Linked DNA regions of Cricetulus griseus. The protein of the gene in region 1 binds, or shares a complex with, the protein of each later gene. Links are inferred from orthologs where the notes say so. Each region holds a gene or a part of one and is shown in the gene's direction. Other genes may lie near its edges. The genes, in order: F7, F3 and Poglut1.

Region 1 (3,651 bases):
CCAACCACAGTTTCCCCTCCCTCCTCTCCTCACAGATGACACCAGCTAAGACTCCTAGCAATAGTGTACAGGGTGCCTGACCTGGTCATCTACTTAAACCCATATGCAAATTTTTACAAGAGAAAAAACTATAACTCCTAAAGCACACTTGATGTGCCTACTATTTTCCCAAAGGAAAATCCTTATTCCAGAAATATCTAGGGCTGCCTGTGAAGTTGACCTGAGAAGGGAAGATTGCCCTAGCAGGGAGGGCTGCTCACACACACATGCAACCCTCACTGCTGTCCCCACAGTAGGTGGTTCCTTTAGGGAACATGTGAAGAACACTGTGGCTTCCTCCACCACACGGCCATGTGTACTTCGATTATGAGTTACTCTATTTGTTTGTTTCTTTTAATTTGAAGCAAGGTCTTGCTATGTAGCCCAGGCTAGCTTCCAAAACTATCTTCCTGCCTCTGCCTCCTGACTGCTGGATTTACAGTATGTGCTACCCTGCCCAGCACTGTGGTTTCATTTTGTAGAAGAGGCATATTTAAACATTATTGAGCATTTTCCGTTCTAGTTAAACATCTGTCTTTGAGTGTTTTTTTTTTTTCCCCTAGGAAGGGTGTGTCAAGATAGGACAATCTTTGAGACTGGGTTCATCATGTTTAGTTTTGTCATCATCGCTGGAAAAATACAGTTAATCACATTCCTGAAGTAACTGTGAGGGGTTTATTTTTCATTCTCCAAGGGATTTTTTTTCTCTCACCAGCTTTGACTCATATCACATCTCAAACATCTCTCTCACACAAGTTCTCATGCTAAAGGCTTCACACTCACAGGAGACCTCACACTCACATTCAGAGAACACCTCTCTCGAAAAAGTTCTTACACTCACAGGAGGCTTCACACTCAAAAGGCCTCACACAGGAAACTCATGTACACAGGAGAATTTACACCCACAGAACACCTCACACAGGACACCTCACACAGAGGACTTCATTCTCACAGGATATCTCATACAGAGAACCTCACACAGAACACCTCATCCTCACAGAATACCTCACACAGAGCACCTCACACAGGAAACCTCACACAGCACACCTCACACAGAACACTTCATTCTCACAGAACACCTCACACAGAGCACCTCACACAGAATACCTCACACAGGATACCAAATTCTCACAGAACACCACACACAGAGAACCTCACACAGAACACCTCACACAGGACACCTCACACAGAATACCTCACACAGCACACCTCACACAGCACACCTCACACAGCACACCTCACACAGGATACCTCATTCTCACAGAACACCACACACAGAGAACCTAACACAGAACACCTCACACAGGATACCAAATTCTCACAGAACACCACACACAGAGAACCTCACAGAGAACACCTCACACAGGACACCTCACACAGAATACCTCACACAGAACACCTCACACAGGATACCAAATTCTCACAGAACATCTCACACAGAACACCTCACACAGAATACCTCACACAGAACACCTCATTCCCACAGGATATTTCACAGACTCAAAGGATACATCACGCAGGATGACACAGTCCATTCATAGAACAGCTCTTTCACAAGTGTCCTCACACCCATAGGACACCTCACACAGGGAACCTGCAGAAGTTACTTTTCTCATTGGTACAACCAAATACCTGACAAGAAACAACTGAAGAAAAGACAGGCTTATTTTGCTTCATAGTTCAGGAGGAAGGCCATCTTGGTAGGTAGGGAAGGCGTGATATCAGGAACACGAGGCAGCTAGCTGGTCACAGTGCATTCAGTCAAGAGGTAGAGACTGATGTCTGCTGGTGCTCAGCTCATGTCTTCCTTTTTATTCAGTCCAGGGCTCCCATGGAAGGATGCTTACCACATTTAGGGTTCCAGGCCACTGCAGGGGGGGGGGAGCCGCATTGGGGCCAGAACTCAGGTGCACTGACTTGAGAGAGGCTACTGTGTCGTGGCTTTAGATGTCTCTAGAAAGGGCATAGAAAACATCCACCTCAGATAAGCCAGAGGGAATCTGTCTTCCCAAGTCCCTCACAGAGGTCAGGAGCCCCACCCATAGCTCCTGAGCTCCCTCCATGGACACTAACTGCTACAACTTCTCATGAGCGTGCCTCACATGGCTTCTTCTTCCCCCTCAGAAGGAGTTCTGGATTGTTTACACTGGTGAGTAGGTGAAGAGCCATTTGTGCCCCTCCCTTGTGGGCCTTCTTTGCAGCACACTAATGCCAACTCACCCACAGATGGGGACCAATGCGCCTCGAATCCATGCCAGAACGGGGGCACCTGCCAGGACCACCTCCAGTCTTACATCTGCTTCTGCCTCCTAGACTTTGAGGGCCGGAACTGTGAGAAGAGTGAGACCAACTTCCTGCCTCAGTTTACAGATGGATGGAGTAGGGAGGGGAGGACCCGGGTCCCTGATTCCAGGGTGTTCAGCCTCAGCCCCTGTGGGAAACCCGTCCAGGAGACATTAAGTACTCTCTTCAAATTGAGAGTCTAAGGTTTGGGGTCTCAGACTCAGTGTCCCTTTTGGCTCCCTACCCTGGGGATTCTGATGATCTGCGGAGAGGTGAGGAAGGGTCCCTATGTCACTATTCAGCTTCTGTCCCCACCAGGCAAGTCAGCCAGGTGAATGTCACCTGGTTTAAACGCCTGCTGGTTTAAATGTATGAAGTATTTCACCCTCTGCCTGCTGGTTTAAAGGTGTGAAGTATTTCTTCAGCTCTGAAACATCAAACTATCGTTAAGCTTAGAGTCCATCAAAGCACACTGGCCCCAGAAGTTCCTCAGTGGGCCTCATAGAATCCACTGGCTGCAGATTTACACATGTTTATTTTGTTACACCAAAATTTGTGAAGAAGCCAAGAGCAGACTAGCCCAGAGTCCTCCAAACGCCACTGAGGCTGCCACTGTTGAGACTTCTTAGATGTGTGGCTCCCAGCTCCAGGTCTCCTCCCTCCGGATCAGTCCACAGGGCAGGTGATGCCAAGTTCAGTCTCAATAGTCTGCAGCTGCACACTGCCTCCCAAGGGGACAAGGACAACCGCCATCATGGCTGGCCTGCCAGCCTCTCAGCCTGTTTTCTGTCCTCAGACAAGAATGACCAGCTGATCTGTGCAAATGAAAATGGTGGCTGTGACCAGTATTGCACTGACCATCCAGGGACCAAACGCTCCTGCCGCTGTCATAAGGACTATGTGCTTCAGCCAGATGGGGTGTCCTGCAAACCGAAAGGTATGGGTCCCAAGGGCTGGTGCTCTTACACCCTGGAGAGCCAGTCACCTTCGCTGGCCCGTGGCAAGTTATCAGCCCAAAGATGTGTAACAGACCAGATCCCGGCTAAGCAAGCATCTAATAGACACTGAATGGCTGTGAGGTGGAAGACAGTGAGCTGAAGGACACCCTGCCTGGGAGCTGTTAACTTGGAACTCTGGGCCAGCATCCTGCACTGTCTCAAGTGCCCTGCCCATTAAAGTCAGGCCAGGGGTGAAAAGAGGCCCTTCATCTCCTCTAATGTCCAATCTGGATATCTTTAGGACACGCCTGGGAGTCACATAGACACACCTGGCATATCTGCCCACTGATGCACAGTTGAGAACATAGGCTGACTTACATGCATGTGGGTA
Region 2 (3,651 bases), on another chromosome or scaffold:
GATTTTCTATCCCTTCAGATTAGAGGTCCTAGTTGAGGATTGTCCCCAAACAAACCCAGATCCACAGGGAAGCTTGCTTGTACCTGTAAATAGGTAATTGGTTCCTCAACCAGCTGAGCTTCATTTGCTCCTGAGATGAGCCAGTGTGCGCCAGCTCTGAGCCAGCCTCCCTCTAGCTGGGTTTGAGCGTGTGGCATACTTTCTTCCCTACCTTTGTGCCAGTGTGCTAGTCTGCCATCTAATAAGGGAATGCAAAGAATTCCTGCCAAGTAGGAGACTTTTTGGGGGTGGTGGTGGGTGTGGGACTGTGATTCAGAAGCTGACATTTCGTGAGCACACGCAGCATATTAGGGAGACTGAATGAACTCTACTACTTCTGCAAGCCCTGCTGACTCAAAGTAAAGTGTTGGATTCTTGATGTTCCTATCTGTACCCCTTTGACAGCTCTGTAACATGGATGGTGAGAAGGGTGAGGGACAATTGACCAGAATTTTATGTCTGATATCTGCTCTCATGGGCTAATTACCCAGGTGAATGTGGCCTTCTTCCTAGGGTCTCCATTGGTTGACAAGCCTCTCTCTTCAGACTCCTTTGTGTTTTTCCCCCGTATGTTTGTTTCTGCATGACACCTTCATCTCATGCAGGCTCACTGACGGTCTCATGGCCCGAGCCATGATTATCCTTTGTAGTTCTTGAGCTTTCAATAATCCAGACCAACTCCTTTTGGTACATGACAGAACATACATGCTCACACACACACACACACACACACACACACACACACACACACACACACACACTGCAAAGGGTGGGGACTTATTTGATCATCACATAACTGGAGCACATGAGGGAACTGAACCAGAAATAGCTTAAAATGGATTCCTTGGTGGACCAGGGACACTTCTTGGGCTTCCCAGCCCCTAATTTATTTTAGCTAAAATATGGACGCTTGTAAAACTGCATCATCCAGCCTGGTAGCAACCATCCACACACATGGCAACCAGACTCTAGAAATACTGCTAATACTGCCAAGATGAAACATACGCCAGTTTTTGAAAAATGCAAAATATACATGAAGTATTTATATTGATTGCATGCTAAAATGCTAGTCTACCAATGAACCTGTTAAAGTTTATTATTAAGATTAATTCCACCAGCTCCTTTTCACATTTTCTGATGGTTGTAAGGAAAGCTCTCCTATGTTTCCAGAGGATGGCATTGCTGCATGCTGTCTTGGAACTCAGCTCTAGGATCCCACCACTCCTGCTACTGGAGCTGATTCAGTACAGATGTTCTATATGAGCCATGGAGGAGTTGTCAGTTAACGACAACTCAGTGATCTTTTCTTTGTATTGATTCTAATGTCCAACAAAGATAATTTGTTTTTTTTTCCCATTCCAGCAAAACTTGGACAGCCAGTAATTAAGCATTTTAAACAAAAGGATACCCAGCTGAATGTGACGGTAGAAGACACACAAACAGCGGTCCGAAGGAACGGCACATTCCTCACCTTGCGGGAGGTTTTTGGCAAGGATTTGAGTTATAAACTTCTTTATTGGAGAGACTCAAGCTCAGGAAAGGTGAGAAATTTTTCATTCATTTTTATTCCTTGTTTTATAGAACCTTGATTCTCCACAGCCCACTTCTTTCCTAGTTCAAATATAGGGGTTTCCTAGTTCAAATATAGGAGTAGGGGTTGACATGGCGGTATGGATGACAGGTCCTCATTCTCTTGTCACTTTTGAGTTAGTTGCCTTGTGCCCTTGGGCAGGTCCTTTCAGAGATTCCAGTTTCTCAACCAAAGAGCTGGACCAGATCATCTCCAAGGCTCCTGTCCTCTCCCACATCCTCACTGGGGTTCCCAGAGGGGGAAATGACTTATTAACTAATCTCTCTCTCTCTCTCTCTCTCTCTCTCTCTCTCTCTCTCTCTCGTGAGCGCTTGTGCTACTTTGTGATGCTTGGGTTGTTATCCAGGGCCTTGTACACTAGACAAGTTCTCTATCAATGAGTTACATCCCTGGCCCCCAAATGTCCCCTCTTCAGTGGTTCTTTTTTTTCCTACAGAAAAAAAGGGGGGGCTGAACTGAGTCAGATGTACCTAAGTTGTATCTTTTCAGCCTTGGCAAAGGTATCTTTAACAGTTATCAGGAGTTACTGATTAGCCAAGTAACTTCTAGTCATCCTATGTCAATGATGTCTGCATAGATTTTGCTTAGAGCTCAGGTTTCACCCTCCCCAGTGACTAAATAAGGGGAAAGAATTCACTCTGAGTCTAGATGGAATAAGAAGAACTCTTTATCTTTTCACAGAAGCAAGCCAATACAAAAACTAATGATTTCTCCATTCTTGTGGATCAACCAGTAAGCTACTGCTTCTCTGTACAAGCTCTGATTAACTCCAGGAAAGATGACCAGCAGAGCCCACAAAGCGACACCGAGTGCTCGGACGAATGGGAGAGTATAATGGGAGGTAAGTGTCCATGGAGGATTGGCTGCCCCACAGCAGAGACAACATGTATCTCTTTGGATCAAACACCAGGGAGAAGCCACCTTAGGGTGTTTTAGGGTTTCTTTTTGAGTTCTCTTTGGGAAAATTTAGAAATGATTCCACATGGTTCCCTTAGTTAGCAAGCACTTCCCTAGGCAATTGCAATGGGTCAAATTCTATGGGGCACTGTGTATGCAATTCAGACTTAAGTACCAAGTCACAGTCTTCTCTAGCCAGGAACACGGAGTGGTTCATTTAATGCTTAACCATTGTCATTTCTCTCAAGCATATGAGGCCAGGTAAATTCTTTCTTAGTCTAAGAGTGGTAGAAAGGGTAAAAGAAATAGACTTTCGGTTGAAAAAACGAAGGATGGTGTAGTTTGGGGTCATGCCCACCTGTGAATGGGATTTGAGCCTCCAAGTTGACTTTGTATCTTTTATTTTTTATTTTCAGAAACACTCATCATTGTGGGAGCAGTGGTGTTTGTGCTCATCCTCTTTGTCATCTTCCTGTCCATATATCTGTGCAAGCACAGAAAGGGCAGAGCAGGGCAGAAAAGGAAGGAGAACTCCCCACTTCGCTCAGCATAGAGGAGAGGAAGGAGTCTGAAGCCTCTAAATCCTGCACTACCTGCAGGGCACTGTTACCAAGACCTCTAATGGGGACCAAGGATATGGAGCAGAGAGCTTGATGATCCTGGTACAGAAAGGTTCCCTTTGCGACCTGATATTCCAGCCAACACTCTGATTCCAACACTAGCATTTGTCACTTTAGAGTGTACTGAAGGGTACAGACAGGTTAACACTACAGAGTCTTTTGCACAAATGCTTTAGATTGTCTATTCTACACTCAGGAAGACACTAGGTCACCAGGGGACAGATGCCTTTCGTATAACTGGGGTGGACTTTTGGGAGAGCCTTTAAGAAGCTGATTTCATTGGCTATAGAACAGTTAAAATGGAAATTGGGTAGACTTTTCTGACAGCTGTCCTTTTGTAAAGTGGTATTTGGTTTCTTTTTTTCCCCCTTCTAGGTACTGTTGAAAGTTCAAAGAAATTGGCAAACTTTCATATTAATGTGTTAAATGCAGTATATTTCTGCATGGGGCATCTTTCTGTTATGTATTACAATTTAGCACTTTAACTACAATGGTGGGGATTAA
Region 3 (3,651 bases), on another chromosome or scaffold:
GTGTAGCTGCAAGTTTCCGTTTCAAGCATCTCTTCCTGTGTGGTTCGCTGGTCTTCCATGTTGGTGATGAGTGGGTGGAATTCTTCTACCCACAGTTAAAGCCATGGGTTCACTACATCCCAGTCAAAACAGACCTCTCCAATGTCCAGTAAGCTCTTAGTCCCAACTTACAGTGTCATATGACCATGCTCTCCGAAGTGCAGCTACGCCAGGTGTTTTCTCAGATGATTTCATTTTCAGTGGGAACTTTTCCCCTGTACACATGTGTACTGGCATGTGTTATAATTGGGATTGAATTTGAAGCACTTTAATTTACAGTGCTGTTTCTAACACAATGTTAGATGAAGGAAAGGCTTTGACCTTTCAGCAACTGCAGATAGATTTGGCCTTGTTATATTGTTATTTAGTGAAGCCCTGGCAGAGTCTTTCATGGTGGGAGGAGACAAAAAGAGGTGTGGATGTGGAGAAGGGCCAGAACTGTGAACCAGTTCCCTCCTGGCTGGAACGAGGTAGAAATTAAAGGTAGGTGTGTGTGTGTGTGTGTGTGTGTGTGTGTGTGTGTGTGTGTGTGTGTGTGTGTGTGTGTGTGTTGGGGGGGAGAAACACTTGTGAAAGAGCATATGCACTTGTCACTGCACGTATGTGGTGGTCAGAGCACATCTTCCAGGAGTCTGACCTTGCCCTCCGCCTGGCTGAGGCAGGGTCTCCTGTTTCTACAGCTGTGCTGCGCCCTCCAAGTTTGCTGGCCTTCGGGCTTCCTGGTGATTTTCCTATGCCTGTCTCCTACTAAGACAACAGAAGATTGCCACCACATCCTGCTTTTCACATGAGTTTCCAGGGGAGACTTGGCTTGTCACGCTGTTGCTGCCACCTCCTGAGCCATTTTTTTGGCCCCAGAAATTATTTTTCATACTTGGTTTATTATTATTGTTGTACATTTTTGTTTTTTCAAAAGTATATCTCAAATTTATGTACTAGAACATAGTATAATTGATGATAGTGACAGGTGACAATCTGACTTTAACCTGTAGTTTTTTCCATCTTTTGTCTTTTTTGAGATACGGTTTTATGTAACTTAGGCTGTTTTCAAACTTGTTATATAGTTGAGGTGGCCTTGAGCTCCTGATCCTCTTGCTTCTACAGAACTCCTATGTGCTGGGATCATCAGTCCCACTGCTCCTGGTTTTGTATATAGAGTCTTTTTCTTTGCTATTATCTTTATTTCTTTAGTTACCCTAATATCTTTGCTTTAAAGAAATTATCTGCAACCTACATATCTACAGATTTATCTATTTATCTGTTGTCTTTTTTTACTTGGTTTTAATGAATGTGATCTATATTTTAAAAGCTGGTGTGTGTGTGTGTGTGTGTGTGTGTGTGTGTTGTGTGTGTGTGTGTGTGTGTGTGTGTATGAAGGCCATGCTGTGTATGGCACACATGTGTTTGTGTGTGTATGAAGGCCAGAGGTCAACCTTAGATGTTGTTCTTCAGGGGCCATACATTTTGTTCTCTTTGAGACAGAATCTCCTGCTGGAACCTTGTGCTTGCTTATTAGAATTGGCTGGCTGGCCAGCAAGCACCAGGGATCCATTGGTCAATACTTTGCTAGCATGGGAATTAAAAGCACAACCCGTCATGCCTGGCTTCTTATGTGGGTATCAGTGTCAAACACGGGTCCCTGTGCTTGCATGGCAAATACATTAGCAGCTGAACATCTCCCCAGCTTCTACAGTGTCATGGTTCTTGTCATTTTAGGGAACTGTTGCAGTTTGTAAAAGCAAATGATGATATTGCTCAGGAAATTGCTAAAAGGTAAGCTCTATTCATTTGTCCTTTCTTGCCTCATCTGTAGTAAAGTTTTCTAAATAGAGTTACATGATAATGTCCACACCTCAGCTTCATACAAAAGTACTCCAGAGTTAAAGCTATGCTGAAGGCAGATACACACATCCACAAATGCTCCATGTTTTATACAAACAGATTTCAGTCTTTTGAAGATTTATTTTTAAATTGTATGTATATTTGTGTCTGTTTATGGGTATATGCATGTCAGTGCTGGTGCCCAGGAGATCAGAGGCATAGGACCCCCTAGTGTTGGACATGAGCTGGCCCTTTGCAAGAGCAGTACACTTAACTACTGAACCCTCTCTCCAGGCCCTAGATTTCAGTCTTTGAAGAACTCAGACAAATGTTTTTAGCTGGACATGGTGACTCACACCTATAATTCCAGCAATGGAGAGACTGAGTCAAGAGATCGTTTTGAGTTCCAGGACAGTCTGGGCTATGAAGTGAATTCTAGGCCAGCCTGAAGGAAGGAGTAAGAAGTCTCAAAACTCCAAACCACACCAAGACAAAACAACAACAAACAAGTGTTTAAAATGAATATTGGCTGGTAATGATGCTTGGGGTTTTTTTGGTTTGTTTGATTGTGGTTTTTTGTTTGTTTGGTTGGTTGGTTGGTTGTTTTTGAGACAGGTTTTCTCTGTGTAACAGTCCTGACCGTCCTAGAACTCACTTTGTAGACCAAGATGGCCTAGAACTCATTGAGTATCTCCCAAGTGCTGTGATTAAAGGCTTGCACCATCACCACCCGGCAATAATGCTTGTTTTGAGAATCAAATGTTAAGTGCTCTTGCTAAATACATGCTTATGGATATGACAGTTACAGGGTTGGTTGTGAGGTGCTGGTGAGTTAAATCAAATAAAATACTCAGAACGAGGCTTGTGATAAAGTAGCCTAACTATATGTGGACTTATTATTAAAGCCTGTAATATACTCTTGTTAATCTTATCTCTAGGGGAAGCCAGTTCATCATAAACCATTTGCACATGAATGACATCACCTGTTACTGGGAGAGCCTCTTGACTGAATACTCCAAATTCCTGTCCTATAATGTAACAAGAAGGAAAGATTATGATCAGATCATTCCCAGACTTTGGAAAACTGAACTGTAGTCATCATCAGAGGACTGGAATCCTGGCAGTGGATCTGAGATGCTCTGTGGTGAAATACCATGAGTGTGACACCTATGCTTTGAACACCTTTGCCAAGCCTAGTATTCAGTTTTCCTTATCATGTTGTATCTGGGAGGACTCTTGAGAAAGACCTAAAAATGTATGTGATGAACAGCTATTTGAATGTTTGAAATCATGAAATAAGGATTTGGAACTACATCCTATCTTTCATTTTCTTATGATCAATCACAGCTTGTGCCTCAGGTCATCTACATGTATCATCACTGTGAAATTGACTGGGTCCATGTGAAGATGCCCTTTGTCCTATTATTTGGAGCAGATCATCATCCATCATTTGGTACAATTCATATCTGCAACTCTGAAGTTATTCTAGGCTTGATGTCTATTACTTAATTTTAGTGTAGAAATCCTGTGGGGTTTGTGAAAGTACTGCAATGGTCATGTCCTGAAGAGTCTAAGGAAGCAGTGGCTGTGCCATGCAGTGCTGTTGGTGTTCTCTTTTGTAGAAGGATAAATTCTTTGGCACTCAGGAGGTTCCTATAATGCCTCAATTGCCTGAGTTATTTTCGCAGTTGGATTTCAAGTGCCTGTTTTGTGCCTTCATGCCTGAGAAATTCGTTAATACATTAGAAAGCAGTCTTGAGAGAGAGAGAGAGAGAGAGAGAGAGAGAGAGA

What was found.
Region 2: the proteins of F7 (region 1) and F3 are in contact, whole or in part, in a crystal structure (PDB 6R2W), measured with the Homo sapiens proteins. The link is inferred for Cricetulus griseus from reciprocal best matches to the Homo sapiens genes F7 and F3. Residues at the interface, in NP_000122.1 of Homo sapiens: Leu73, Lys78, Phe91, Arg96, Leu99, Phe100, Ser103, Ser120, Lys122, Gln124, Leu125, Ile129, Cys130, Phe131, Cys132, Leu133, Pro134, Phe136, Glu137, Gly138, Arg139, Lys145, Gln148, Ile150, Val152, Asn153, Glu154; in NP_001984.1 of Homo sapiens: Thr49, Asn50, Lys52, Ile54, Glu56, Trp77, Lys78, Ser79, Lys80, Phe82, Tyr83, Glu88, Asp90, Asp93, Gly141, Gln142, Thr144, Glu162, Arg163, Thr164, Leu165, Arg167, Phe172, Tyr188, Trp190, Lys191, Ser192, Ser194, Ser195, Gly196.
Region 3: the proteins of F7 (region 1) and Poglut1 are in contact, whole or in part, in a crystal structure (PDB 5L0S), measured with the Homo sapiens proteins. The link is inferred for Cricetulus griseus from reciprocal best matches to the Homo sapiens genes F7 and POGLUT1. Residues at the interface, in NP_000122.1 of Homo sapiens: Asp108, Gln109, Cys110, Ala111, Ser112, Ser113, Pro114, Cys115, Gln116, Asn117, Gly118, Gly119, Cys121, Gln126, Ser127, Tyr128, Arg139, Asn140; in NP_689518.1 of Homo sapiens: Met103, Phe104, Pro105, Ser106, Arg107, Arg132, Asp133, Pro171, Ala172, Trp174, Pro178, Thr179, Thr214, Asn239, Gln240, Ala241, Val274.

The regions. Positions count from the first base shown.
Region 1 is NW_023276807.1:67,735,610-67,739,260, reverse strand, and holds part of F7 (coagulation factor VII), read left to right. Parts: intron 1-2,163; coding exon 2,164-2,188; intron 2,189-2,265; coding exon 2,266-2,379; intron 2,380-3,118; coding exon 3,119-3,259; intron 3,260-3,651. UniProt on the Homo sapiens protein: Initiates the extrinsic pathway of blood coagulation. Serine protease that circulates in the blood in a zymogen form. Factor VII is converted to factor VIIa by factor Xa, factor XIIa, factor IXa, or thrombin by minor proteolysis.
Region 2 is NW_023276806.1:36,748,867-36,752,517, reverse strand, and holds the end of F3 (tissue factor), read left to right. Parts: intron 1-1,401; coding exon 1,402-1,580; intron 1,581-2,311; coding exon 2,312-2,471; intron 2,472-2,943; coding exon 2,944-3,080; 3' UTR 3,081-3,302; downstream 3,303-3,651. UniProt on the Homo sapiens protein: Initiates blood coagulation by forming a complex with circulating factor VII or VIIa. The [TF:VIIa] complex activates factors IX or X by specific limited proteolysis.
Region 3 is NC_048597.1:51,614,853-51,618,503, forward strand, and holds part of Poglut1 (protein O-glucosyltransferase 1), read left to right. Parts: coding exon 1-148; intron 149-1,755; coding exon 1,756-1,812; intron 1,813-2,798; coding exon 2,799-2,955; 3' UTR 2,956-3,651. UniProt on the Homo sapiens protein: Dual specificity glycosyltransferase that catalyzes the transfer of glucose and xylose from UDP-glucose and UDP-xylose, respectively, to a serine residue found in the consensus sequence of C-X-S-X-P-C.